Kluyveromyces lactis: one gene and its partners. Each later gene encodes a partner of the first gene's protein in a complex. Links are inferred from orthologs where the notes say so. Each region holds a gene or a part of one and is shown in the gene's direction. Other genes may lie near its edges. The genes, in order: RIP1, BCS1, QCR8, CYTB and QCR9.

Region 1 (4,025 bases):
TTGATTACAAACGTGATTTTATGATGTGGCATAAGATGAATAGAGAGCAATGGAGGACCCTTGACGATTTATCCATGACACAGTTACATGAAACGCACTATACTGCCTTATGCCAGTACCCTTTTTTGATGTCCTTAGGCGTTAAGATAGCCATAATGGAGTTCGAAACTGGGAAAATGATGGAACATAACGCTGAGCAAGCGTTCTTAAAGGCGTTGGACTCTCGTAAACTTTACGATGTACATTTCCGAATAAAGGTAAGACGAAGCCATGTGACACAGGATTCGCTAACGTCCATTCAACGACATCCACATGATTTGAAAAAATCCCTAAGAGTGGAGTTCTCGAATGAGCCTGGAATCGATGCTGGCGGTTTAAAGAAAGAATGGTTCCTTTTATTGACTAGGGAATTGTTTCATCCAAACCATGGACTATTTCAATACGTGGAAGAAAGCCGATTATCTTGGTTTGCATATGGGAACACCGGTCTTAAGCTTCATGGAGAGAACAACAATGAACTATACTATTTGTTTGGAGTAGTGTTAGGTCTTGCAATATATAACAGTACTATATTGGACTTACATTTTGCGAGGGCCATGTACAAGAAACTATGCAATGAGCGGATCACTTTTGAAGATTATGAGGAGTTGTACCCTGAGACAGCAAGAAATTTAAAGAAAATGTTGAGTTATTCGGAACTAGATTTTAGTGATATATTTGGATTGTCGTTTGAGACCACGTATTACGATGTAGCCAGTGGTATCAACGTCACGAAACCGTTATGTGACGGAGGAGAATCAATCCCAGTAACCTCGGAGAATAAGACAGAGTTTGTTGAAAGGTGGGTAAATTTTTATATGAATGAGGGGGTCTCATCGAGTTTTAGTGCATTCCAATCCGGGTTTACAAGAGTCATCGGGGATGGTTTGGCTTTCCCGATGTTCAAAAGTTGTGAAGTAGAAAGGCTCATCTGTGGCAGCATAGAACAAGACATGGATTTCGAACAACTTCGCGCTGTGACGAAATACCAAGGCGGATTCCATAACCAAACCCCGGTAGTGGAATGGCTATGGGAAATACTACCACAATTATCCCATGAACAGCAACGTCAATTTCTCCATTTCGTGACTGGGAGTGACAGAGTTCCAGTGACGGGACTTGCGACGCTTCCGTTCAAGGTAACCCGCACAACGTCCGGATCACATGATCAGTTGCCCACTGCCCATACCTGTTTCAACGAACTCTGCTTGTACGAATATGAGTCACGTGATACTCTTCTTCTGCGATTGGTGACTGCCCTCGAAATGTATGAGGGTTATGGGTTTAAATAATGTCAGCAACAAACATACATTAATATAATCACTACAAACGAACCAATCATATCGTGAACCAGGCTTTACAGAAAAACCTGCTTCCCTTGAATAACCAGAAAACACAAGGAAATGGACACTTACAGCTACTATGTGAAAGCCGTTAAATGCGAAGCGTTTTACTGACACTAGGCCCAAAGGCCCTAGTGTCAGTTATCATTTCCACCAAGAAAATCTTCCTATACTTGACCATTTACGCAAATAAAATTGTATACTTGTAAATTGGAAAATAATAACCACACCAGGAAGTTCTGCCTCGTCCCAGCTCATTTACACTGTCCATTCCTGTCTGGTCGAATTATATCTTGTTTAATCCTTTAGCGCTTCTTACTATTGGCTTTTTTCCCAATCTGAAATTTTTCTTTGTTTTTTTTTTTTTTGCTTCCTTCCGCACTTATTAAGCTGCAATGGCTTCTGTTTAATATGGATAGAGATAATTTGATAATTTCTCTGAATAAAATAAAATAGAAAAAGATTTAGTACAATCATTTTATTATTACTTTCAGTTCCAACAACATTTTTGCATTGATATATATATTTTATAATCTGGCTTGGTGATTCATATCTGTGTATATATTTATTGATACTCCGAGAGTGCTTTGCTGTTGTGATTAAAGTCGATATCATAGAAACGATTTCTCCGAAATAAGAACGGGAAATTAGTACGAATAATACACTCTAGCGATATATCCATAACTAACTAATATCAAAAATGTTGGGTTTAAGAAACGGTTTGAAGACTGGTTTGAAGTCTGTTGCTCCAGCCAGATTAATTTCTACTTCTGCAGTTGCTGCCAAGTCTACTTACAGAACTCCAGATTTCGGAGACTATATCAAGGAGAATAACGATGCTGACAAAGGTCGTTCTTATGCTTACTTTATGGTTGGTTCTTTAGGTTTGTTGTCCTCTGCCGGTGCCAAATCCACCGTTGAAACTTTCATCGCTTCTATGTCTGCATCTGCAGATGTTTTGGCTATGGCTAAGGTCGAAGTCAACTTGGCTGCTATTCCAGAAGGTAAAAATGTCGTTGTGAAATGGCAAGGTAAGCCAGTTTTCATCAGACACAGAACCGACCATGAGATTCAAGAAGCTAACAGTGTTGATATGTCAGCTTTGAAGGATCCTCAAACTGATTCTGACAGAGTTCAAAAGCCAGAATGGTTAGTCATGTTGGGTATCTGTACTCATTTGGGTTGTGTTCCTATCGGTGAATCTGGTGATTTCGGTGGTTGGTTCTGTCCATGTCACGGTTCCCATTACGATATCTCCGGTAGAATCAGAAAGGGTCCAGCTCCATTGAACTTGGAAATCCCTCAATATGAATTCGATGGTGAAAACTTGATTGTCGGTTAAGCGCAGAAGGAAAGCTAAAAAAAGATTATATTATGTTGATAAATTGTTGAAATAGGCTACCTTTTTTTGCTATTTCTCAAATTTAACTCTCTTCCTTTTTCTCTTTCTCTTTGTCCTTCTCACTCCAGCTTTCACTAATAAAATTCTTTATTCCCATGTTGATGTCTCCTACTCCCCCCATGTATTTTCCAAGTAGGATTCACAACCAAGGTCAATATCTTTTATGCTAAAGTTTGTCATATTGGAATCGTGTAAGCTCGTTTTTTCACGTTCCATCATCACTACCCGATTTATTATTATTTATTCATACAAACATTTTTGAAACCACAACTACCCGTGCCCCCATAGCTCAAGCAAACTAAAAGGATAGCAAGCATGAAATGCTTTTGAAGCATTGTTCAATTGTATGTCATCACTTTTCCTTTTAACTGCACTGAGAAACAATCGCATTAATACCTGAATGACCACATCAGGCTACTACCGTGATTGAAACCCTTTTATTATATTCCAAAATCTTTGAAATAGTCCTGCTCTACCCGATGCATGGTTATACCTACAATCTGAATCGCTTAATGTTGTATCGCCTTCTTTTCCATAAAAGGTCAGACACGTATTTAAAGAAAAGCGGGAGTATTGGATTAATCTGTCAATAGTAACTTTAACCTTTGATTTCCCTTTTTCAACGAGATTTAGGCCTAGGAACAATGCATTGGTATTGCAATGGGATGTCATTATTTCGCTTTTAATTTGCCTATTTTCCCGCTAATCACGAGAAAAATAAATTCAATTAATCAATCCTATACTCTTAAGATGTCTCAAAAACTGTTAACCCAAACCATAAAAACCTAAAAAAATCTCTTCCAACCAAAATATTTTACCATAAGAATAGAGAAATTGACGAACAATTAATTTAAATTGAGATTACCTTTCTCTCTAGGGATTCAAATTTTTTATCATATTAAGGTTTGTTTCCTGTTATTTATATACTCTGTTAACGATGCCAAGATTATATATTATATGTATATGTATATTCCCCACATACTCTTTTAAAAGAAATGAACAAATTTAATCCATTTGAACGCCGAAAATTGGGAACCCTTGAAAAATCCAGTGCTGTTTGTAGACTAAAGTTCTGGGTTAGCTTCTAACAAGCTTTCAAGATCATCTGGAATTCGCTGCCAATTTTCTCGATCCCATTCGGTTAGCATATCACACATCTCTTTTCTTATTTTGTTGATATCCCTTTTCTGACAATTGCACCCGTCATTGACACTATCAGGAGGCAGCAATGGTTCTGAATC
Region 2 (4,867 bases), about 1.8 Mb from region 1:
TCAAGCTCCCAATTCTTCGTAAAGATTCCATTGGTTGGCTGAGGTAGTTTCTTATATTTTGCTGATCTTAACTCGAAAGGTTTCACGTATTCCGAACAAAGATCGACGCATCTTCTAAAAGATCTGACTTGCTCCTTCATCTCCCATTCTTCAGGCGTAAAAAATTTGCTGTCAATGTGACCCCTTACACCATATTCTTCTAGTAGCCACATTTCTCTTAGTTCTTTATTTGTGAACTTACTATTAGGGAAGTCTCTTCTGGCTATTAACTTCACATTTTCAATTGGAGCCTCTCGCAACTTATTCAATGCAATTGGGCTGATATCTGTACGGCCCCATATCGAATCTACATTATTGCTCAGTAGTAATCTTGCTAGGTCCAATGCCACGTTACCATTACCGATTATACCAACGTTCTTGACACTTTTCCAATCAAAGTCCATAAATTTAGGATGTAACGCAAAGTCTGGATGTCCATTATACCAATTCACAAATTGTCTACTAGTAAATACACCAGTAGTGTCATTTTCCCCAGGAATACCTAATTTCCTATCAGTGGCACATCCATAGCTTAACACGACAGCATCCTGCTTGCTTAGCAGCTTCGAAAGTTCTATATCTTTTCCGACTTCACAATTTCCGATAAAATTGAACTTATGTATTGAATCCTTCCCCATCACATCTTTGACAGTATCAGTAAACGTGTCCTCACAGTTCTTAACGTTAGGATGATCAGGCGCAACACCATACCTAGAAAGTCCGAATGGCACTGGTAGCCTTTCCCATATAGTCACTTCTAAAGGTACCTTAACATTTTGTAGCAGATGATGAGCGGTGTAAAACCCCGACGGACCTGACCCGATGATGGATACGTATTTTCGAACCATGATCCTTTTATTATGATAGTGCTACTCCAATTGAATGCAGTTTCAGCCAGGTACGTAGAGGTTTGCCGTTTTCTTGATCTATACATGTACTGTAACCTCGGTCAAACTTATTAATTGTCTGACAAGACATACACACCAGAAATGACTAAAAGAAGCTAACGTAAAATAAGACAGAGAAATGTAAGGAAAAGACTGTTGCAGCATTCCTGTTGCCTACTATAATTTGTCTTGTAGGACCGACTGCCGTCATGGTTCTGATCGGAATATATTAGCCGACCTTGTCCAACGGTATCAGTGAACTACGTTGATCGTTAAACCGTCGCTTTCCAGGGTAACTTCGAGTAACACCAATTACGTATTCTTGTCTCTCGATGCAACCCACCACAGATATATATATATATAGAAAGGGAAAGAGAGATGGAGTTTAATAGAGAATCACTCCATCTTCACAACACCGAGCATTGAAAAAGCAGTAAACAAGGTTAAGCAGAAAGACGCACATATACAGAGGAAATAATGGCTCTAACATATCAAAAGTTCTTATTATTTGGAGATTCCATCACCGAGTTCTCATTCAATACAAGAATGAATGGGGACCAGACTGATCAATTCTCACTTGGAGCGGCATTGGTCAATGCATACACCAGAAAGCTCGATATTGTTCAAAGAGGTTTTAGCGGATACAATTCTCGGTGGGCACTGAAACTCCTGCCAAAAATTTTGGAGCAAGAACAAGATGTGGCTATCAGTACGTTGTTCTTCGGTTCGAACGATTCCTGTCAACATGAGCAACAAAACGTGCCACTACCTGAATTCAAAGAAAACACCATCAAGCTGATTCAGATGATGAAAAATAAAGGAATTAAAGTTGTTGTGGTAGGCCCTGCTCTGCACGACCAAGACCACTGGTACTCGTTGAAGAAGCCAGAGGTTGATAAGGGTTACGTTCGTTCAAATGAATTGTATAAACAATATAGCGATGCTGCGGAAGAAGCTGCTCGTGAAGAAGATGTTGCATTCGTGAACCTGTACGAAGCGTTCAAAGACCAGGGCGATACATGGCCAGAGCTTTTATGTGATGGGTTGCATTTCACCGGCAAAGGTTACGAGGTGATGTTCAATGAAGTGCTGAAAGCCGTTAACAAACGCTATCCTGAATACTCACCCGAAAATGTCGAGTATAAATTGCCAAATTGGAGACTCGTTGAATCGAATGGGTCTACTTTAGATGCATTAATCTAACTAAATAAGAAAACTAAGTAAGTTTAGTGTATTGACTGATAGATCATAGAAATCCGAGGCCTCGATTTCCTCTTTGCACAAAGTAAATCTTTCTTGAACCTTATTACAATTGAAAAAAAAAGTGTCCACAATGAATATCAAGAGATGAGCTATCAACCAGACAAATTTGAAGTATATGAAAACTTGCAACATAAGTAGAAGTTTGATCCAGTACATTCTAGGAAAGTTAAACACTGTCCAAAGATAATTTAGAGAACTGCAAGATGGCGAGTAACGGTACGGGTGGACTTCCTCCTATAGATTTTGAAAAGGTGAGAAATGATTCTGACGGATCTGTCACTGGAATGGCTAAGGGTTTATTTAACCAGTTTATTGAAGGAAACCCATACTTTGCCGCTGGTGGTGGACTAATGGTTTTAGGTACATCTCTTGCATTACTGAGAAGGGGAGTGATATCAACAAGCAGATTGGCTTATCATCAATTGATCGTGGACCTTGAAATTCCAAGTAAAGATAAATCGTACTTATGGTTCTTGCAATGGATGTCAAGATATCCCCATAGGTCATCAAGACACTTGTCAGTGGAGACCAATTATTTACAGCATAATAACGGTTCTGTGAGTACCGAAGTGAATTTTGTTCCAGGTGTCGGAAATCACTTGATAAGATATAAAGGCGCATTCATGCTGATTAAACGAGAAAGATCGGGGCAAATAGCAAACATTACAAATGGTACACCATTTGAAACTGTAAAGCTAACCACATTATATCGTGATAGACATTTGTTCCAAGAATTGTTGATGGAGGCTAAAGACTTGGCGGTGAAAGCTCAAACAGGTAAAACAGTGATCTACACCTCTTGGGCTAACGAATGGAGACCGTTTGGTCAACCAAAGGCTAAAAGAAACTTAAAGAGTGTTATCTTGGATAACGGATTGAAGGAGAGCATCTTAAATGATGTAAATGATTTCTTACAAAATGGTAAATGGTACTACGATCGTGGTATCCCGTATAGAAGAGGATATCTTTTATACGGCCCACCGGGAAGTGGTAAGACATCATTCATTCAAGCATTGGCTGGTGAGTTGGACTACAATATCTGCATTATGAACCTTGCGGACCCCAATCTTACTGATGATAGATTAAACTATCTTATGAACAACCTTCCAGAAAGAAGTTTAATGTTGTTAGAAGATATCGACGCAGCATTTGTTAAAAGAAGCAAGAACGATGAAGGTTTCGTTAACGGAGTCACTTTTAGCGGCCTTCTGAACGCATTAGACGGTGTCGCATCCAGTGAAGAGATAATTACATTCATGACGACCAACCACCCTGAAAAACTAGATCCTGCCGTGATGAGACCAGGTAGAATCGATTATAAAACATACGTTGGAAATGCTACCGAATACCAAATCAAACAAATGTTCTTAAGATTTTATCCAGAAGAGAAAGAACTATGCGAGCAGTTTGTTCAAAAAGCTGTTGAACTGGACACACCAATCTCTACGGCACAACTACAAGGTTTGTTTGTCTTCAACAAACAAAACCCAAAGAATGCAGTACTGATGGTAGAATCCTTACGCTATCCAAACCATGTCTTTTGACTGTAAATAATCCGTAACCTTCAAATATATATGTACATACACACTTCTATACAAGCACCCAACACGATATATATAGGCTTGAAAAGGAACTGATAGAGATGAAAGAGAAATCCATCTTAATCTCTTTCAATCCTCATTGTTATCAGGTGACGACTCGAGTATCAAATCTTTTGCATCACGTAAATGGCCAACGGATATCGTTCTTGTGCCATCCTTTTCTGCCTGTAGCTTCGCTTCATCCATTAGCTTCCGAATAAGATCAGCAAACAGACATCCAATTAAGGTCTCCTCAGCCTCACTTGGCTCATCTAAGGTTCCTAATGTGTTGTCTCTAATTCGGCCCAGTAGCCCGTCAACTACAATCCTTCGAAGATGCTCGCTCATGCAGAAAATTGCACATAAAACTGTCAAGAACAACACTTCCCTGTGTAACCTAAAACTATTCGTCTCCTAGGTACAATTGAACTCTAATAAAAGTAAACATCTCTCTCCTACTATCACTTATCTATATCCATATCTATTAAACTATCATTATCTTTCTATGTAGGCAAATCTGCTGCTATAGCGTTTTCTGATGTCTCCTGTGTTTTTTTCTTCGAAACTTTAATGTAATCAGCGGAAAAATGATAAGGACTGGTCTCAGATATGACAGTTTAGATTTTTTTGGTTAAGTTTCGAAACTGACATAAACTCTTATAAAACGAGGAGACGCGCAAGTAAACATCAAGTGAGATTAATGTAATTTTTGAATTGAGTTGCCATAAGTAAGAATTCTGAAGGTTGTGTTGGGCAATATTAAGTTGAGAAGAATATATTAACTTTTTAGGTTCAGTGTGAAAAATGTGTAATATTCAAATGGATCTATGGACGGAATTGTTCCTGCTGAATGCCTCATCGAAGTTTGATTTTGATGATAAAAATAATGCCAGTAACGGTAATGCTTGGTATAAAGACCGTTCTGATACTCAGGAAAAGATAGTTCCTAAAGGTTTCAATGATGAAGAATCCTTTGATACAAGCGGCGGATCTAGTTTCATAGAAAGTCTAATGTCAAACATGGATGGTTTTTTCTCCACAGCTTCTACCATAATGGAGTCTTTATCGCCGCTGAAAGAGTACACTACTGATTATTCG
Region 3 (3,752 bases), on another chromosome or scaffold:
TGTTGAAATTGACGAAGATGCCGATGTCGTTCCATACCAAAAAACTACCATCAATAACGTAAAAGCTATGAAGGATGCTCTAGAACGTATTCAAAAACCATGGGAAAAGCATTCATTCCAAGAACATCAATCCGTCACCTCTCAACTCAACACCGACGAAAAGATCAAGGACATCTACGATGACACTGAAAGAGAATTAGCATTTTACAAACAGTCTTTGGATGCTGTCACCATCGCCCGTGAAAAGCTAAAGAAATTGAAGGTCCCATTCAAGAGACCTTTAGATTATTTCGCCGAAATGGTTAAGAGTGATGAACATATGGACAGACTAAAGGGTAAATTGATAAAGGAGGCAAGTGAAAAGAAGGCCCGTCAAGAAGCTAGAAGACAAAGAGACTTAAAGAAATTCGGTAAACAAGTGCAAGTGGCTACTCTACAACAACGTCAAAAGGATAAGAGAGAAACACTCGATAAGATTAAGGACTTGAAGAAGAAGAGAAAGCACAACGAAATCGGCGGTGACGATTTCGATATCGGTGTCGAAGACGCCGCCCAATCGGAAAAGAAGCATAAACCAAATTTCAAGAGAGAAGCTAAGAATTCCAAATACGGTTCAGGTGGTTTGAAACGTTACAAGAGAAAGAACGATGCCCAATCCTCCGCTGAAATGCCAGAATTCTCCCAAAGAAAGATGAAGGGTAAGGCACCACGTCCAGGCAAGTCCAAGCGTTCAAGAAGACACTGAGAGTAACTAATAGAGGAGCAAGAACGTACATGTACAATAGCATTACCACCACGAGATACTTCTTCCTCCATAATGTATGTAAATTCATGTATACTGCAAGTATATGTATTACGTTAAAGAAATTTTTACCCGGACATGAATAATACAAACGTGATTTGACTATCTCGTTTAAAGCCGTTTCGAAATCACGAACTTTGGAACATTCCACCATACTGATTGCGTTGAAGTATATTAACAGGTTATGTACCATTCAGCTGAGTTCAGCAGGCAATTCAATTGAGGAACGTTCTACCATTGGTACCTGAAACGAATAGACAACGAACCTGATAGATAGAATGAGTGATAACAGAGCCCAGTTTTTGGAAGTGTTCCCATCATTAGTACAAGAGCTTAGAGACATCTTGGCCGGGTACGGTATGCCCGAAGAAGCCATCGAATGGTACGAAAAATCATTGAACTACAACACCCCAGGTGGTAAGTTGAACCGTGGTCTTTCTGTCGTTGACACATACGCGCTTTTGAAAGGTTACAAGTCAGTGAGCGAACTATCTGCAGAAGAGTACAAGAAGGTTGCCATCCTTGGTTGGTGTATTGAACTGTTGCAAGCGTACTTCTTGGTTGCTGATGACATGATGGACCAATCGATCACAAGAAGAGGACAACCATGTTGGTACAAAGTGGAAAACGTCGGCGACATTGCGATCAACGATGCATTCATGTTGGAAGGTGCCATCTACTGTCTGTTGAAGAAACACTTCAGAACAGAGCCATACTACGTCGATCTATTGGAATTGTTCCATGACGTTACTTTTCAAACCGAATTGGGTCAGTTGTTGGATTTGATCACTGCACCAGAGGACAAAGTCGACTTATCCAAGTTCTCTTTGGAAAAGCATTCCTTCATCGTTATCTTCAAGACTGCATACTACTCTTTCTACTTAGCAGTGGCACTGGCCATGTTTGCTGCCGGTATTACCGACTCAAAGGACTTGAAACAGGCCAGCGACGTATTGATCCCATTGGGAGAATATTTCCAAATCCAAGACGATTTCTTGGATTGTTTCGGTAAACCAGAAGATATCGGTAAGATTGGTACCGATATCCAAGACAACAAATGTTCTTGGGTCATCAACGTTGCATTGAAGAATGCTACAAAAGAACAAAGAGATATCTTGGACGAAAACTACGGTAGAAAGGATTCTGAAAAGGAACAAAAATGTAGAGCTGTATTCAACGAATTGAACATCCAAGACATCTACCACAAGTACGAAGAAGAAACCGCTTCCAACTTAAGAGAGAAAATCGCTAACATCGACGAATCCCGTGGGTTCAAGGCCGAAGTTCTAACCTTGTTCTTGAACAAAATATACCACAGAAAGAAGTAGGTAAAGCATATATTATCTAACCATTTTAGATCACGTGCAACTAAATAAATAAAAGTAAGTTTCACTACCAGTATCACTGTATACGAACCAATAATACTACGTTTCGGCCTTTTCGCTTCTAAAAGACGAAGTCTTGAAAATCTTCCAGCGAGGGAAAAAGCTTTATATATAAGAAATAAGCTTTAAACCTCTACTTATTCAGATATTCAAATGATGCAAAGATGGAAAACTATTATACATAGTTTAGTCTCTGACTCAGTATCCGCAAGACCAAGAATTAAAATATTAAGACGAAATGGGTGGTCCACATGCTAAGGCTTACATGGGCTGGTGGGGTAGTATAGGTTCCCCAGCCCAAAAGGGTATTACTACATACACTGTTTCTCCATATGCTCAAAAGCCATTGAACAACATCTTCCACAACGCTGTTTTTAACACATTTAGAAGAGTTAAGAGCCAAATTTTGTACATGGCTCTTCCAGCTGCTTTGTACTGGGCTTGGTGGGTCAACTGCAGAGACTACAACGCTTACTTGTACACTAAGGCCGGTAGAGAAGAATTAGAAAGAGTTAACGTTTAAACAATGTTATTACAACACTAGACTAGTTCCTTTCTTTCTTCTGTCCAGGTTTAAAAGCTTACATGGAAAAAGAGGTGCGGCAGCACCCTTTTGACACTTTTATCAACATTCAAGATATATTTCTCACGTCACAAGAACATTTTTTATCATGTCAGGCCATCGAAAAGAGTTTCAGTATTATTAGATACTATTGAAAAGGAGAGAGCGAGTGGAAGTTCACATCCTCGGTTTTTAATTCTCTCTTTTCGGGTTTGGCTCAGTACCGTATTTATTGGAGGTTTTCATCAAGTGGTTACTCCCCTCAAATATATCTTCTATACTTCACTGTTTATACGAATTTGAAAAACTACTTTATTATGAATACTTACATCTGCGTGTCAAGGGCGTGATCGTCGTGCTCATATGTCGACGATCGGTGTGCTTGCCTGTTTTACATGTATATATATATATAGATGGATAAGTTTCTCCACTAATGAAAGTCACGTGACGTTATTACTTTCCCCCCGTAAAGGGTATTTAATCCAATAAAACGGATTTTAACGAGTTTCCAATATCAAAACATTAGTCGATTCTCACTGTTTAAAGGGTAAACAGGAAACATCGCTATCGACTGGTACTCAACGATTTTATTGTTACGAGACAAGCGAGATATTGAAGATAAGAAACTTATCGTCTTCTTTTCTTTCTATTCTTTTTTTCCTGGTTCTTCAAGGAAAGAATCGATACTCTAGTGTGACTCGATCCACACTCGCACTCATTTTGTTTTCACCAGGAGATGTCTTCGAGCTATAATGTTGGCTCAGGAATGAAACGGTCTAATACCCCAACGTTGTATGAACGAGATTTCCCTAGTGAGGTGGTTTCGGTTGGATCATTACAGTCTTTGACTCAAAGAGAGGATAATGAAAGAGACTCTTTCAAACTACGACATAAGAATGACTCTTATAATCATGCGGTAAATTTTAACATCGGCTCTTCTAGAACTAGTGAATCTTATCAAGAATCCAGTGATTATGAAGAGCAGCTTTCCTTTAAGCCAAGA
Region 4 (4,790 bases), on another chromosome or scaffold:
TATAATTCCGCGGAATAACCTATATAATATTGTTATCTTCCCCGCAAATGCGGGGTTTATATTATTTATAATATAATTATATACAATCTAATACGTAATAAGAAAGACGACATTATTATATTATATTATATAATCCCCCGATTCCCATGTTATGGGAATACTTAATTATATAACTATTATATATATTATATAGTAATTTATATATATATTCTAGATATTAATAATATAATTATTATTATTATTAATATATTATAATATATATTATATATATTAATATAGTATAAATATTGTATATAATATATTGTATTATATAATTTCCCTAATTATTTATCCCCCCGCGGTCTCTCACCCAACGAATGTATGGGTGATGAGCCGCGGGGAATAATATGTATTATTATTAATAGATATATATAATAATTATATATAATATAGGATATGATATAATATGACAATAATCGCCCCCGATATTTATAATAAATATCGGGGCGGTATACAATTATATAATTATATAATTATATATTATATATATTATAAAAAATAAATATATAATATATATAAAAGATATATATATATATATATATATCCCGCCATTAGTCTTAAGACTAATGGCGGGAATTTTATATTTAATTATATTCAACTCTGCAAATGCAATATCATTCATAGGAATTTAATATATAAATATTTATATATTTAAATAAATATTATAATTATTATTATATATTTATTAATTTATTAGTATTCCGCCATATATTTATTATAATAAATATATGGCGGGATTAATATCCCCGCCATTATCTAATAGATAATGGCGGGAATTATACTTCTCATATATATTATATATTTAATATATAAAGATCTATAAATAAATATATACCCCGCCATTATTACCAATATTGGTAATAATGGCGGGTATAGCCTTATATTCATAATATTATTTCTACGAAATAATTATAAAAATATATATATAATATTATATATCATTATATCCATTCCCGCCATATATACCTAATAGGTATATATGGCGGGGATAAGATTATTATTTTATATGTATAAAATATATATAAATATATATAAATATTATTATTCCCCGCGGTTCATCACCCTACATTCGTTGGGTGAGAGACCGCGGGGGGGGCTAAAATTAAATAAAGAATTATATATATATTCTTAATAATATTAATTATTAAAATATATATAAATATATATAATAATTTTTTTAATAATAAATATTGATATTATTATTTATACTCCGCCATAATATATCCCTAAGGGATATATTATGGCGGGAATATCTTACCCCCCTTTTAAGGGGGGGGTTTATAGATATTATATCTATATTAATAGTAACCAAATACCTCGTATAGGGCTTTGATATAAATTTTTATATAATAATATTATTTATATAAAAATAATAATAAATTAGTATTTCGCCATTAGTCATACGACTAATGGCGGGAGTTTATATATTTACATAATCCCGCCATATTGCCAATATTGGCAATATGGCGGGGTATTCTATTATTATATATACCCTTTTATTACATATTATATAATCTCCCAATTCCTTATGGGTTGAAATACGAGGATTATATATATATATATATTTTTGTATATTATATATTAATATATTATATAATAAAATTAATAAATAATGATTACCCCGCGGCTCACAACCTAGGTTGTGAGCCCCGGGGAAGAAATTACAATTCGCCTTTTAGGCATATATTTTCATAATATATATATATATATTTTTATATATTCTATATATATAAAATAATAAATTAGTTCCCTTAAATAGGGATAATTTAGCGAGATAGTTTTAATTAACTTACCCCCCGCGGCACACCCAACCCTACGGTTGGGTGAGGCCGCGGGGGGAATCTATATATAAGTTAATAGTAGTTATATTAGCTCAATTGGTAGAGCGTTCGTTTTGTAATCGAAAGGTTTGGAGTTCGAATCTCTAATATAACAGACCTTATCGTCTAATGGTTACGACATCATCTCTTCATGTTGAAAATATCGGTTCAATTCCGATTAAGGTTATATATTTTATAATCCCTTCTCCCCCGCGACATGACCCTCATAAAGGGTCATGTCGCGGGGGCTGGATATATTACCAAGTATATCCGTGGGATATATTAGAAGTAATATATAATTATAAAATAATAATCAATATACATATATATTATATATGTATCAAATTACTTGATAATAATATATTTATTATATTATTATAATAATTATTATATATATATTATTATATATATAATACAATAATATTATATTTATAAAATATTTATTTATCTCCCGCGAAATTATAAATAATTTCGCGGGGATATTCATATAAATAATATATATAAATTATACATAATTATATTATTATAATTATATATTTATCCCTTTCTCCCGTGGCATCACCCGACCCTCATAAAGGGTCGGGTGATCCGCGGGGGTCATATTTATATAAGGGCCCCGCGGCTCCTCCACGACGTTCGTCGTGGGGAATATATAATATTTATATTATATATTTAATATATATTATATTTATATATATATTTAAAAATATAATAATTCAAATAAAATATGTCATTTAGAAAATCTAATATTTATTTAAATTTATTAAATAGTTATATGATTGATTCACCACAACCTTCATCAATTAATTATTGATGAAATTTAGGATCATTATTAGGATTATGTTTAGTAATTCAAATTTGTACAGGTATTTTTTTAGCTATGCATTATTCATCTAATATTGAATTAGCATTCTCAGCTGTTGAACATATTATGAGAGATGTTCAAGGAGGATGATTTATTAGATATGCTCATGCTAATGGTGCATCATTCTTCTTTATTTGTATGTATATTCATATTGGTAAAGGTTTATATTATGGTTCATATAGAGCTCCTAGAACATTAGTATGAAATGTTGGTGTTATTATTTTTGTATTAACAATGGCTGCTGCTTTCTTAGGATACTGTTGTGTATATGGACAAATGAGTCATTGAGGTGCTACAGTTATTACTAATTTATTCTCAGCTATTCCATTTATTGGTAATGATATTGTATCATGATTATGAGGTGGATTCTCAGTTTCTAATCCTACTATTCAAAGATTCTTCGCTTTCCATTATTTAGTACCATTTATTATTGCTGCATTTGTAATTATGCATTTTATGGCATTACATACACATGGTTCATCAAATCCTTTAGGTGTTACAGGTAATTTAGATAGATTACCAATGCATGGTTACTTTATTTTTAAAGATTTAATTACTGTATTTGTATTCTTATTCTTCTTCTCATTATTTGTATTCTTCTCACCTAATACAATGGGACATCCAGATAACTATATTCCTGGTAATCCATTAGTTACACCTGCATCTATTGTACCAGAATGATATTTATTACCATTCTATGCAATTTTAAGATCAGTACCTGATAAATTATTAGGAGTATTAGCTATGTTTGGTGCTATTTTAATTTTATTAGTATTACCTATTACAGATAGAAGTGTTATTAGAGGTAACGCATTTAAAGTATTCTCTAAATTCTTCTTCTTCTTATTTATTGCTAACTTTGTATTATTAGGCCACTTAGGAGAATGTCATGTAGAGCCTCCTTTTGTTGTAATGGGACAAATTGCTACTGTAATTTATTTTGCATACTTCTTAGTTATTGTACCAGTTGTATCAACAATTGAAAATGTATTATTCTATGTAGGTAGAAAAAATGCAAAGTAATTATTAAAGGTAATAATTTAACTAATCAATATTCTTTTTTATCTATTTTTAATAATAATCAAAAAAGATATTATTCTCAAAATATTAATAATGATTAAATTTAAATCAAAATAAGCCCCACAAATGCGGCATCACCCAACCCTTATAAAGGGTTGGGTGTACCGCGTGGGGAAGAATATTATAAATGTTATAATGAAGTAAAATCAAAACATAATTAACCCCGCGGCTCATCCTCTGGTAATCCCAGAGGATGAGACCGCGGGGGATTTATTATTTGAATATTTAGATTTAGAAGCCCCGCAAATGCGGCATCATCCAACCCTCATAAAGGGTTGGATGAGCCGCGTGGGGAAGAGTAATAGTTTAAAATTAAAAAAAGTATTATTTAATTATGAAAATAATATAAACCCCGCGGCTCGTCCCCGGGGTATCCCGGGGACGAGTCCGCGGGGAAAATATTTTAATTTTAAAAATGTTAAATAGTAATTAATAATAAAATTATTTCAATATTCTTTTTTTTATTTAATATATATATTATATTAAATAAAATTTATAAATTATATCTCTCCCCCCCCCGCGGTATACATATAAAGTATACCGCGGGATTACATATTACATATAATATATAATTTTATTCCTATGGTATATAATAATAATTAATTATATTTTTATTATATTAAAAATATTCCAATGTTTTTAATTCCGCGAACCCTGATTTTTATCAGGGTGAATATTATTATAATAATAGTCCCAAAGGAGTAATATTAATATATAGAAGGTAGAATATATGAAAAAACATTATTATATATATTTTTCCCGGGGTTTATATTATTTTATAATTCCCCGCGGTCTCGTTTCCGGGATATCCCGGAAACGAGCCGCGGGGTATGTAACTTTAAAATAAATTATTATTAATTAAATAATATTAAATAATATTATTTAATATTTTCCCCGCGGTCTCCTAGTAATCCCTTTAAAGGGGAGGAGCCGCGGGGTTACTAAAACATATATAATATATTATATAATTATAATATATAATTTTA
Region 5 (4,337 bases), on another chromosome or scaffold:
GGTATTAAGGTCTAGACTTTCCTTTAAGGATTGTTTACAGGAAGTACTCGTGGAGCGTTTGAAGGGTCTGACAAAAGACTTTGGGTCTTTCTATAGGAAATATGAATCCGAGCTTCGAGCCCAGACTTGCCTTGACTCCTCTGAATTTTCAATTGTATTGAAAACAACGATATTAGGAGCTGGATTTGGTGATCAAGTTGAAAAGCACACCTTGGATTTGTTCTATACCTTCTTAATTTCTGAATTGCTACCTACGCTAAGGAGATCAATTATCTTGCTGAAGGCCTTAAAGCAATTTATGACAGGGGGGGATGATTTAGATTTTAATGAAAAAGATGTGCTGAGTGGTAGCCTTACTTCCGAAAGCAAAGAAAAACATTTCCATCTTTTGATAAGATTTTTGCTCCAGACTGATTTTTATGACTTGTTGATGAATTCGCATTCTCCTCTCTCCCCTGAAAGCTCCTTGGTTAATGCTCCACATGAGTACTGCAGTATCATCAAATTAACCGATTTAGCAACTCATTTGAATACTTATGTGACTAATAATAAAAACATTACTTTGCGTGAAGAGAATGATCAAAAAATTAGAAATACTGTCAACAGACTTGATTATAAAATTTGTTTGATATGTGGTGTCAAGATTCACGCACGTACAGATGGCCTTGAAATGCAAAAGCACATGGAAAGGTGTTCCCATGGTTCCAGTGGGTTGTTTTTAATTCCTAATATCAGTCAAGTGTGCCTCTATTTAAGTAGACCGGACTGTACCGTCAACATTTCGGCCCCTTATTTGAACTCACACGGTGAATCAGGAAGAAACGCTATCGAACGAGGTGATCTAACAGTATTAAATCATGCTAGATATGAACATTTAACTCGTCTTTGGATTTCAAATGGTATCCCCGGTTATATCAGCCGAGTAATGGGGGACGAATTCAGGGTTGCGATGGCAAATAACCGAACATTTACGAGGAACATGTTTTGGAGACCTGGTGCTGCTTTCAACGCTGGTGGGGAGAGCAGTGACGAGGACCTTATGAACGATGATGAGTTTGGGAATGATGATCGTCCAGATCTAAGGTTTAGACAGCCTGATGTTGAATTACGCATCAATGGTGGACCATTCGGTGGAGATATCCCTATAAGATTACCAACCGAAAGAGGTGACATACATGATTTTTTCGAGTTTGTTCAAAACATGAGAGGGGGTATGCAAGGTGATGGCGCAGACATTCCGACTACAGAAGATATCATTGAACAACTGCAAGGAAATGCAATGAATGGATTCTTCGGCCGTGCAGATAGAAATAGAGAGCACTTTGAACTGAATGATCAAAGTGACGGCAATGAAGATGGTGAGGACGAAGAGCACGAAAACAACGCTTCGGAAGATCAAGACACGGAATACAGTTCTGCAGAAGAAGGTTTTGATTTCAACGAGTTAAATAACGTAGAATGAATAACTTTTTGCTCGTCACACCTCAAAATTGCCTTAACCTTATGGCACCATTCACAACTTCAATGTACCAAATATATATAGAATAGCACGTTATTTCGTTTATGCACACATCGATATAAGATATTTTTACTAGTTTTGCATAAATCTGCAATATGTGGAGTGGACTGACCACAGGATACTATGCCGTCCAATATCTTACAGAATCTTTTATTGTAGCCTGACTCTGTCCCACCCTTTGATAATTCATGTTGAAAGTACTCCCAGTACTAGACTTTTGCACGTGATTACTTCTGGATATCATACCATACGACCCAATTATATCCGAGTACGGAACTTTTCTTCAAATTTTTGAAAAACTGGATAAATGTATAAAACGGAAAGCTAACTTCGACTGATGCCAAAGACAAGGTTTAATAAGAAAAAGTTCAGCTCAACAGAAACCAGAACTCCCGTTTTAGAAATGGTATGTTAATGATTTGATTAGTCATGGATAATACATATGATATGCGTCTTTTCTGGATCTGAAAACATTGATTTTGGCGTAGATGTCTTATTTGACTTCTGGAATTGAGAAACCGAAAACTGGGAACTGAAAAAACTGTTTGTAAACACGATGCAAATTACATTGAGCAGATGCTAATGTACAATTATACTATTATTAGTGAAATATACTTCCAAAGCTGAATGTCTGCATATCCCGTGGTGTTTCCGATGCCTGTTAAGGTTCCCTGGAGGTATGACCGATATCTCCATATAATAGAAAGGCAGTCTCAATACTACATTTATCTTCGAAGTACGACCATGGCTTATCGCATGTATATCAGTTACATCAAACAAGTGAAGAATGGACACCTTCTGGGCAAAATCCAGCGGCTGTTTTCCCAGATCATTGCGGATTGACTACATGAAATATTAGATCATATTACTAACAATTATTTTTCTGAACAACTTAATTATCACAGTCTTTCGCCTCTACTCTGTACAAAACTGTCTTTAAGAGAAACTCTGTTTTCGTTGGTACCGTGTTCGCCTCTGCCTTCGTTTTCCAAGCTGCCTTCGATACTGGTGTGACCTCTTGGTACGAAAACCACAACAAAGGTAAGTTATGGAAAGATATCAAGGGTGGTATCATGAACGGTGGTGAAGAAGATGAAGAAGACGATGAATAAGTTTCTTTTGACATTTGAATTATATCATTTCTCATCATTATACTTTTAAGTGTCTTTTCATTGATGCTTTTGTTCAATTATTTTACTTCTTAGAATATACCGTCACTTCAAAACATATTTTAAAAATGTGGATACGCTACTGTCGGGAAACATTTATCTATCCGGCACTCCATACGTCTACCAGGCCTAGGACATCAACTTTGGAATGATGTTCTCAGATTTTCATAACATTCATCCTTTTCGCTATCGGAATCTCACTCGATTCAAGAGATAAAAAGGGTAAAACATATATGACCATAAAGCGTGAATATCTGCGCATTGATGTTCATCTTATTTGTTGTTAGCTGTTTTTCCCTCTACTCCTATTTATTTTCAACTCACTTATTTGAAATCTCATCAATCAATCACATATGCGGCTCAATTGTATTTAAATACAATGTATTGTTTGTGCTGTTTCTGTGTATTAATCATGTCTATACGATAATAAAAAAGAATTACCCATTATTTGTGTACCAATACCGTACTTTTGTTTATATATATATACCTGAATTTATTCGACGGGTATGAAATAGCATTCATAATGTATGATTATACGTAAGACGCGAATATAACATTATACAAATCTATATACATGTAGCTTGTAATGAATCAGAGCATTAAATAACTTCTTTTATCTCAAAAGTTGCGCCCCTTAGATTTCACCGTTAACCGAAGCTTGCTGAATTCTGTTAATGTAAGCCTTTGAAATGGCATTCCAACTTCTCATATATTTAGCCAAACATTGGTCGACGCAGTTATCTTGAGAAGCAGCATATGGAGCATTCAGACATTTCTCAAAACAGTTCTCAGTGACTTTGTTAACTAACTCGGTAGCATTGGCGATGGCTAATTCTTGAGAGATTTGAGATTTAAGTTGGGTCTTGACATCGCTAGGACTGGATGTGGCTGGGGTACCAGATGATGAAGAGCTACCACCAAAGATCGAAGTTAAAGCCATATCTTAATGTGTTCTATGATAGATTATTGATCCGATGCAATGTTCAGAGGGGCCTGGATGATAGATTATAGCTGTTAATTGTAGATTGCCAATGGATATTTCAGTTTATGCTAAAGCTTCAAATCATTAGTTTTTTTTTTCAATATGAGGAAGAAACATTCCTTCACATCGAGCAGCAATGGAAGGGATAGATAACTATTGTTTCAGCCCGTTTCACAACCTCTCCTTTCCTGCGATTTACCGCGTTATTGGAAGATATGTTTGGAAGTTCCCCAGAGTGATTTACTTACTAATATGAACCACTGTCCAAGTACTTGTCACACGGAGCATATATGTAGTCGCATGATTATCATTACGTTACTGTACCCCAAACTTAGTACAACAGACATCAACAAATACTAGGCATCGGTGGTTTAGTGGTAAAATCCAACGTTGCCATCGTTGGGCCCCGGGTTCGATTCCCGGCCGATGCATTCTTTTTCATTATTCAATAATTTATTGAGCACTCAATTTTTTTATCAAGCGTTGCTACCTATTTCATAAACTGAATCCACTATAGCATTTCGATTCATTCAATGCAAATTCAATAGTATCGGTAAGGTTTCACTAACGGCTCTCGATGTGTTTCTTACTCGTTTTCTTTTATTGTACAGAAAACCCATCTTTACAATTCTCAGCATGAATCCAACATTTGAAAATCGAAAGTGCC

The links.
Region 2: the proteins of RIP1 (region 1) and BCS1 are in contact, whole or in part, in a cryo-EM structure (PDB 9GS2), measured with the Saccharomyces cerevisiae proteins. The link is inferred for Kluyveromyces lactis from reciprocal best matches to the Saccharomyces cerevisiae genes RIP1 and BCS1. Residues at the interface, in NP_010890.3 of Saccharomyces cerevisiae: Asp133, Met134, Ser135, Asp139, Pro140, Gln141, Thr142, Ala144, Asp145, Arg146, Val147, Lys148, Tyr205; in NP_010663.1 of Saccharomyces cerevisiae: Phe209, Gly210, Arg214, Asn297, Thr299, Arg302, His337.
Region 3: the proteins of RIP1 (region 1) and QCR8 are in contact, whole or in part, in a cryo-EM structure (PDB 8ABI), measured with the Yarrowia lipolytica proteins. The link is inferred for Kluyveromyces lactis from reciprocal best matches to the Saccharomyces cerevisiae genes RIP1 and QCR8. Residues at the interface, in XP_499709.1 of Yarrowia lipolytica: Thr42, Ile45, Pro46, Phe48, Thr49, Pro50, Tyr51, Leu52, Lys53, Arg56, Asn61, Arg62, Ser65, Tyr66; in XP_504875.1 of Yarrowia lipolytica: Ala23, Tyr25, Thr26, Ile27, Phe30, Ala31, Ala32, Arg33, Ala36.
Region 4: the proteins of RIP1 (region 1) and CYTB are in contact, whole or in part, in a cryo-EM structure (PDB 8EC0), measured with the Saccharomyces cerevisiae proteins. The link is inferred for Kluyveromyces lactis from reciprocal best matches to the Saccharomyces cerevisiae genes RIP1 and COB. Residues at the interface, in NP_010890.3 of Saccharomyces cerevisiae: Ile79, Met82, Thr83, Ala84, Thr85, Val88, Val108, Val109, Lys110, Gln112, Gly113, Lys114, Pro115, Ile158, Thr160, His161, Leu162, Gly163, Cys164, Val165, Ile167, Phe177, Pro179, Cys180, His181, Gly182, Ser183, His184, Gly194, Pro195; in NP_009315.1 of Saccharomyces cerevisiae: Trp142, Thr145, Val146, Asn149, Leu150, Trp164, Trp166, Gly167, Gly168, Phe169, Ser170, Val171, Ser172, Pro174, Arg178, Pro262, Leu263, Thr265, Pro266, Ala267, Ile269, Tyr279, Leu282, Arg283, Ile285, Pro286, Asp287, Lys288, Cys342, His343.
Region 5: the proteins of RIP1 (region 1) and QCR9 are in contact, whole or in part, in a crystal structure (PDB 4PD4), measured with the Saccharomyces cerevisiae proteins. The link is inferred for Kluyveromyces lactis from reciprocal best matches to the Saccharomyces cerevisiae genes RIP1 and QCR9. Residues at the interface, in NP_010890.3 of Saccharomyces cerevisiae: Asp48, Asp50, Lys51, Arg53, Ser54, Tyr55, Tyr57, Phe58, Gly61, Gly64, Leu65, Leu66, Ser68, Ala69, Lys72, Ser73, Glu76; in NP_011699.1 of Saccharomyces cerevisiae: Ser2, Phe3, Ser4, Tyr7, Lys8, Arg13, Asn14, Ala15, Val16, Ile21, Phe22, Gly24, Ala25, Phe26, Phe28, Gln29.

What each region holds. Positions count from the first base shown.
Region 1 is NC_006041.1:2,012,090-2,016,114, forward strand, and holds RIP1 (ubiquinol--cytochrome-c reductase catalytic subunit RIP1), read left to right. Parts: upstream 1-2,082; coding exon 2,083-2,724; downstream 2,725-4,025. Other genes in the region: putative E3 ubiquitin-protein ligase HUL4, read left to right, coding at 1-1,331; KLLA0_E22595g (uncharacterized protein), read right to left, coding at 3,849-4,025. UniProt on the Saccharomyces cerevisiae protein: Component of the ubiquinol-cytochrome c oxidoreductase, a multisubunit transmembrane complex that is part of the mitochondrial electron transport chain which drives oxidative phosphorylation.
Region 2 is NC_006041.1:225,914-230,780, reverse strand, and holds BCS1 (bifunctional AAA family ATPase chaperone/translocase BCS1), read left to right. Parts: upstream 1-2,392; coding exon 2,393-3,733; downstream 3,734-4,867. Other genes in the region: ARH1 (NADPH-adrenodoxin reductase), read right to left, coding at 1-887; IAH1 (isoamyl acetate-hydrolyzing esterase), read left to right, coding at 1,404-2,129; KLLA0_E02465g (uncharacterized protein), read right to left, coding at 3,860-4,117; PHO92 (mRNA-binding phosphate metabolism regulator), read left to right, coding at 4,574-4,867.
Region 3 is NC_006037.1:608,630-612,381, forward strand, and holds QCR8 (ubiquinol--cytochrome-c reductase subunit 8), read left to right. Parts: upstream 1-2,425; coding exon 2,426-2,710; downstream 2,711-3,752. Other genes in the region: EBP2 (Ebp2p), read left to right, coding at 1-745; ERG20 (bifunctional (2E,6E)-farnesyl diphosphate synthase/dimethylallyltranstransferase), read left to right, coding at 1,081-2,130; protein kinase NNK1, read left to right, coding at 3,486-3,752. UniProt on the Saccharomyces cerevisiae protein: Component of the ubiquinol-cytochrome c oxidoreductase, a multisubunit transmembrane complex that is part of the mitochondrial electron transport chain which drives oxidative phosphorylation.
Region 4 is NC_006077.1:19,624-24,413, reverse strand, and holds CYTB (apocytochrome b), read left to right. Parts: upstream 1-2,586; coding exon 2,587-3,747; downstream 3,748-4,790. UniProt on the Saccharomyces cerevisiae protein: Component of the ubiquinol-cytochrome c oxidoreductase, a multisubunit transmembrane complex that is part of the mitochondrial electron transport chain which drives oxidative phosphorylation.
Region 5 is NC_006042.1:1,407,581-1,411,917, reverse strand, and holds QCR9 (ubiquinol--cytochrome-c reductase subunit 9), read left to right. Parts: upstream 1-1,856; coding exon 1,857-1,925; intron 1,926-2,424; coding exon 2,425-2,631; downstream 2,632-4,337. Other genes in the region: E3 ubiquitin-protein ligase UBR1, read left to right, coding at 1-1,462; protein translocase subunit TIM13, read right to left, coding at 3,323-3,628. UniProt on the Saccharomyces cerevisiae protein: Component of the ubiquinol-cytochrome c oxidoreductase, a multisubunit transmembrane complex that is part of the mitochondrial electron transport chain which drives oxidative phosphorylation.